Linked DNA regions of Kluyveromyces lactis. The protein of the gene in region 1 purifies or fractionates together with the protein of each later gene. This does not show direct contact. Links are inferred from orthologs where the notes say so. Each region holds a gene or a part of one and is shown in the gene's direction. Other genes may lie near its edges.

The links.
Region 2: the proteins of CPR7 (region 1) and CNS1 purify together in Saccharomyces cerevisiae (affinity purification with western blotting; 3 studies listed by BioGRID, with this or other methods). This does not show direct contact. The link is inferred for Kluyveromyces lactis from reciprocal best matches to the Saccharomyces cerevisiae genes CPR7 and CNS1.

Annotation. Positions count from the first base shown.
Region 1 is NC_006041.1:2,026,480-2,029,755, reverse strand, and holds CPR7 (peptidylprolyl isomerase CPR7), read left to right. Parts: upstream 1-1,357; coding exon 1,358-2,527; downstream 2,528-3,276. Other genes in the region: KLLA0_E22727g (uncharacterized protein), read right to left, coding at 1-965; RAV1 (Rav1p), read right to left, coding at 2,556-3,276. UniProt on the Saccharomyces cerevisiae protein: PPIases accelerate the folding of proteins. It catalyzes the cis-trans isomerization of proline imidic peptide bonds in oligopeptides. Plays a major role in negative regulation of the heat shock transcription factor (HSF).
Region 2 is NC_006038.1:872,190-875,561, reverse strand, and holds CNS1 (HSP70/90 family co-chaperone CNS1), read left to right. Parts: upstream 1-1,689; coding exon 1,690-2,802; downstream 2,803-3,372. Other genes in the region: KLLA0_B09988g (glycosyltransferase family 15 protein), read left to right, coding at 1-1,224; SLI15 (Sli15p), read right to left, coding at 2,860-3,372. UniProt on the Saccharomyces cerevisiae protein: Co-chaperone that binds to the molecular chaperones Hsp90 (HSC82 and HSP82) and Hsp70 (SSA1). Stimulates SSA1 ATPase activity, but not Hsp90 ATPase activity. Involved in only a subset of Hsp90 functions.

The DNA of each region.
Region 1 (3,276 bases):
AGACCAAACACCTTAGTGGAATTGTTTTGTTTGTGTTGGTTCTCAGGCAACAAAAGAGACACTAAAATGTCCATATAATCTTTTATAACTGCAAGTCCGTAGTCCGATTCTAAATTTTGACTTTCACTTGATGCTGTAAAATTGCCATTTTCAACGGAATCAATGTCACTGCTTCCTTCGGCACCTATGTTGTCATCTTTCAAAACGTTCTTCGAGAAGTCCTGATCGTTAATGAAGATGTGTTGTTTGCTTGAGTCTAACTTTTTCAACTTGTCAAATATCTTGACGGTAATCGATAGCATGCTCATTTCTGCTGCCTTTCTCAACACATCAGTTCTTCTTTTGTTACAAGCCAAGGACATGACAGTTTGTAACACATCGTACACACATGAGTCGGAAAGAATCTCACCTGAAGGAGAAGCAATAATTGATTCAATAAGAACCAATACCTTTAAAAGGACAGAATCATCGGATAAATGTTCAGTACCTTCAAATTTACAGTGGGTTAAAGAGTTGATCGTTTGTCTATAAGCTGCGACATGGTTTTTCGAAGATTCGTTAATAATACCAAAGGCGAAAAACTTTTGTAATGAGTCTAAGGCCAATGATGTAATATATCCTGACGTTGAAGCTGTGCTTATCACCAATAAGAAAGGTTGCAAGACAGTTAGCGCATCAACATCTTCTAAATTATCTTTATGATTTAACATCAATCTCAACTGAATTAACCCCGACAGTAGTGGATCCTTAGTCTTACTAGCTGCTAAATTATTGAAAGTACCTGCCAATGAAGCGTCCTGATTTATGAATATATCACTTCCCCCCCCTAACAAGGCTGCAACACCAGATTGCACCGAATATTTCGCGTACTTCCTCATAGAAGTCGACAAAGAAATACATTCCTTGATGACAATTGTGACCGGATCAACAGCCACATTATCACGAGTCATTTCTTGTCGATACATTTTTTGAAGTGGTTCAAGCTTAGTCAACCGTAGAACCCTAATCGCGATCAAAAGTCCTTCCTTTCTTCTCCTTCTCCTTCTCCCTCTTACTTACCTATCACACTGTTCCCAAAGTTTTGTTTGATTTCGAGGTCCCAATACCAGATCGCCTGAACTTTGATAAAAGTTTCTTACCCGGACAAAATGATCTACGAATTTGACATTACGAATGAACAGCTAGTTTAAGAACAGTGATGAGATGAGAACGAATACCTCATCCCATCAGTTAAAGCCTCCTTGTTCCAAAGCTAAGTTGCGCTTTATAGCTGTGGTCAAAGTAACAATAGAAAAAGATAAGGTAATAGGTCAAAAAGGATAACTGCTCCTCCTGTAAGATTGAATTCATTGTTGAAATGCACAAAGTATATCTTGATATTAAGATCGGCGATGAGCCAATAGGCCGAATCGTATGCGAACTGTTCGACGAACAAGCCCCTAAAACATGTGCTAACTTTATACATCTATGCAGAGGAGATGTCAATCTTAATGGTAAAGTGTTAAGCTATAAAAGAAATCACTTCCATAGAATCATTAAGAATTTTATGATTCAAGCTGGAGATTTGATGTTCGGTTCTGACGACAAGATTAACAAAGAAGAAGTTGGAAAAGGCGGTTGCTCAATTTATGCGACTGAATCTGAGTTGGAAAATTCATCTAGAAATGAAATTCAATGTTTTGGGAACTTTCCAGATGAAAATTTGGGTGAATTTACCGAAAGCTTCATATTGGCTATGGCCAACACTGGTTCACAGAATACCAACAGTTCTCAGTTCTTCATTACTACTTATCCATCTCCCCATCTAAACGGTAAACATTCTCAGTTTGGAAAAGTGATAGCAGGTAAATCTGTTGTTCGCACAATTGAGCATATGGATGTCGATGAAAATGGAGTACCAAATGATTCAATAATCATAGAAGATTGCGGTGAATGGTCTGATAATATGGAAATACCTCTTTATAATGCATGCAACGATACAATTGGTAATGATTTTTATGAAGAAAATCCAGATGATGACACCCACTTCGAAGGCGAAGATTTTGCCAAAGCATATGAAGCAGCAGAGACCATTAAAGAATCTGGTTCTCTGCTATTCAAGAAACGAGACTTTAGGAACGCTCTTTTCAAATACAAGAAGGCCTTGAAATATACTACTGCATATACTCCTGAAGTGGATATAGACAAGTTTCATAATGAGAAGTTCACTATCCAGAAACATAAACTATATTTGAACATCTGTCTGATGCTATTTTATTTGAAAGAGTATCATGAATCAATCAAATACTCTACCTTTTTAGTGGATGATGACCGTGTAGGAAACAAAGACAAGGCAAAGGCATACTTAAGAAGGGGCAATTGTCTTTATGCTTTGAATAGATTTGAAGCCGCTCTCACTGACTATAAGAACAGCGCAAAGACAGTTCCCGAGGATAAGAACGTCGAGCAGAAAATAGATATTACAGAGAAGAAAATCGCGAGCGATCTCGAAAGAAGGAAAAAAAGCATAGGTAAATTCTTTAACTGATTAGGGATGCTATTCATTCCTTTTACCTTTATATAAAATCATCTAATAAACTTCTAGGCTTCGCTGTCTTTTTGGGCTTTGAATTTTGTAAGTGTTGCTGCGGAACGAATGGTTTATTAGTACTTGCCTGATAATCATCCAATGGGGACTTTTGTTGTGTGGGAAGTTTCTTTTGTATCGTATCTTTTTGATTTTCCTTGAAACTGTCCAGCATATTCGGCACTTGAGATGGGGTCACTTTTTGAGTGTCACTTCTGTAAGAATCCAGAATGTTGAAACTAGAGCCTGCACTTTTACCTGAGTGTCCATTTGAAGAGTTTATATCCCTAGAAGTAGGGTTGAGAATACTTTTTGACTCACTCGTGGACGAGGATACAGATCGCGTATTTTCCGAGAATTGAGAGTCAAACTTATCAAAGAGACTTGGGCGTACCTTTTGTGTTGTGACCGGCTCTTCAATCTTGTTATCTGTCAACTTCGAGTGGGAACTTTGAGGGATTTCAACCTGTTCGGATTCAATCTTCTTACTTTCCAAAAACTTCCAATCCTTCAAAAGAGAAACAGCTATGTAATCACATCCCATGCGGGTGTATATAGTAGCAACGCGCATAATAATTTCATACTCTAAGCTTTCATTTACCTCTAATGCTGCGTTGTAATAATCGATATTTCGGTCTCTCAATTGCAAGTATAATTGTAAGAGAAGTGGATCTTCCACTAGAAACGACTTGTTGACACATTTATCTTTC
Region 2 (3,372 bases), on another chromosome or scaffold:
GTGCTGTTCTTGTTTCTTGTGATATACACTATGAGAATTGAGAATGTTGGGAAAGTGAAAACCGGATCGAGGGTTGATGATAGCATGGAATCAAAGGATAATAGATTGGAATATATGAAATCAAGTGATTCCCAGCTTCCACCAGTTAGTCTTAATAGAGTCCTAGATCAAAAGTGGGAAAAACGCTACCCTTTCGACGCTGCTGGATCTGGGGCTGTGTATGACTCCGTGGTTCATGGGACCAAGGATAAACCCAAGGCATGTTTCGTATCATTGGTCCGGAATGAAGAACTATGGGATTTGGCTAAATCGATTTCATCTGTCGAAGATCGTTTCAACAATAAGTTTAATTATCCATGGATCTTCCTAAACGATGAACCATTTACCGAAGAGTTCAAAGAACGTATCTCTGCCATTGTTCCAAACTCTCAATTCGGTGTTATACCGAAGGAACACTGGTCATACCCAGATTATGTTTCTAAAGAACGTGCAGCTCAAACTAGAATTGACATGCAGGATATAATCTACGGTGCTTCCGAGAGTTATCGTCACATGTGTCGCTTTCAATCGGGGTTCTTTTTCCAACATCCATTATTAGCCGAGTTCGATTGGTACTGGCGTGTCGAACCAAGTACCGAATTGCTATGCTCCATCGATTATGATATCTTCCAACAGATGCAGGATAAAGACTTAGGTCTCGGATTCGTCATTTCTATCCATGAATTTGTCATCACAATCCCAACTTTATGGAACACTACTCGTGGGTTCGCAGAAAAACATTCAGAATACATCCATAACGACAATTTGTTGAAGTTCATATCCGATGATGGTGGTGATAGTTATAACTTGTGTCATTTCTGGTCGAATTTCGAAGTCGCCAACCTAAATTTCTACAGATCAAAAGCATACACGGACTATTTCGATTATCTTGATCGCTCAGGTGGATTCTTCTACGAACGCTGGGGTGATGCTCCCGTACATTCAATTGCTGCATCGCTTTTCTTGCCTCGCAACAAATTGCACTTTTTCCAAGATATTGGATATCATCACCCTCCATACAACAATTGTCCGTTCGACAGCGGAATTAGAGCCAAGGGTAAATGTTACTGTGACCCAAAAACCGATTTCACATTCAGGGATTACGCTTGTGGTATTCAATATTACGAGGCCCAAGGCATTGAAAAACCCTTTAATTGGAAAGATTATAGTGGCCGAGGCTATTGATATGGAATCTCACCTGGCCACCATCCACACTTATCATATTAATTCTCCCCTTCCCCCCATTCCCCACGATACTGATAGAACAATACAATTTGGGGCGCATACAGTTTTTTAAACTTTAGTACTCACTCTTATTTATTTGATTACTTGCCAGTATATAATCTGGTAATATTACCGGGTGTTGTAATGGACACCACCATTCACTAAATCACGTGGTTTGTTGATCTTTTTCTCGACTCGCCAAGAGAGCTTTGACACAGAATTTTACAAGTTCTAGGAAAAAAATCTCATCTCATCTCATCGAGCGGAAAGTGACTGTTCAAAAAAGCCAGTTACTCTGTCTCCACAGCTTCTGATAACGCACTTGGTATAGTCAAATTCCTGCCTGATTCACATCGTCAGAAATTTAACATTATCTGTATTATCTGAAGGGTTTAAAAGGAGGATATCTACTAAGGCCTGCTCACAATGGAAAAACCAAAGAGGTATGTTCCAGGTCCAAATGACCCACTTTTACCACCACAACTATCTGAGTTCCAAAATAAAACCACTGATGAGGTATTGGAGGAGTTAAATAAGATGCCATTTTTTATGAACAAACTTGACCCAGATGAAAGCAATGTAGAGTTGGAAGCCTTAAAAGCCATGGCCTATGAAGGTGAGCCCCATGAAATTGCAACTAATTTCAAGAATCAAGGGAACGATCTTTACAAGGGTAAGAGGTTTAAGGATGCAAGGGCTATGTATTTGAAAGCTTTGGATGTTAAATGTGATGTACTATCTATCAATGAATCTTTGTATTTGAATTTGGCTGCTTGCGAGCTTGAAATTAAAAACTATAGAAGTTGTATCAATTACTGTAGGGAGGCACTCAAACTAAATGCAAAAAACGTTAAGGCATTTTTCAGAATAGGTAAGGCTTATCTCGAATTGGGAAGGTTCGAAGATTCTCTCGAGGCCGTTCAAGTTGGGCTTGCCGTGGATCCTGAAAATGGGGCATTAAAATCCATCCAGTCCAAAGCTACTGAAAAGCTTAAACGTAAAAAGGAGCTGGAGAATCGTACTTTAGCTCAAAAACAGAAGGAAAAGGAACTCCAAGAGTTTTTGGATCTGGCAGTACAAATAAGAAACATAACGCTAGTTGATACCAAACAACCAGCAGGTCTTTTGAAAGATACTAAACTCACATTGGAAAACCCAACAGATTTCGAATCACAATTAATATTTCCAGCTATGGTTCTTTATCCGACTACGGACGAGTTTGACTTTATCGCGTCTGTTTCTGAACTATCCACACCAAATGACCTTCTTGATGTTGTACTTAACAGACCGGCAGAATGGTTTGCACAACCAGGGCACAAAGATTTTACTGCATCTAAACTTCATGCATACATGGAAACTCTGTCTGGAGGCTTGATCAAGATTGGTAAAAAAGTTACCTTCCATGATGTTTTGAAGATGGAGAAGCCTAAGGCTCCTCTTTTCGATAAGTCTCTAAGAGTATACTTTGTACCAAAAACGGAGGCACAAGGATGGCTAGATAACTGGGATAAGAATGCAGCAATAATGAAACGATTGTAGATATTACAGACACTAGATATTGCATTATATAGACACGTCACTATGAATTAAGGTAATTTACCTTTTCTTAAGTTTTTGTAGTCTTGAAGTGCTAGTTTGAAAGATCTCATCGATATGTAGCGGTGGAATGGGGCCTAATATTTGCTCTATATCCCAATTTTGTTGCAACAACAATTGTTGCTTTAGTTTTTCTGGCTCAGCCCACGAAGTCAGTGTCCGCTCTACTTGGTTATTACCTTCATCATCAGAAATGATTTCAGGTAAAGTAACATCGTTGGAAGTTCTTTCCGTTTTTGGTGGTGCGCCGATATATTCCCTATAATCAACTGTATTGATATCATGTAACATGGAATTTGTACTGGCAGATTTAGAGAGTGGCGGTAATGTTGCGTTGTTACGATCTAAAAGAATCTTTGTTCTTCTTTTAGTATCCTCATCTGCCTGAGAAATCCTCCTCTGTTGGAGTTCATACTTTTTCCGCATTTGTTGCTCTTGCTGGTTACGCATCACTTCACTCAACCGCTTATTCAATTTTTGCTTTAGCGTGTCTTTCTCTTGTTTGTTGCTTGA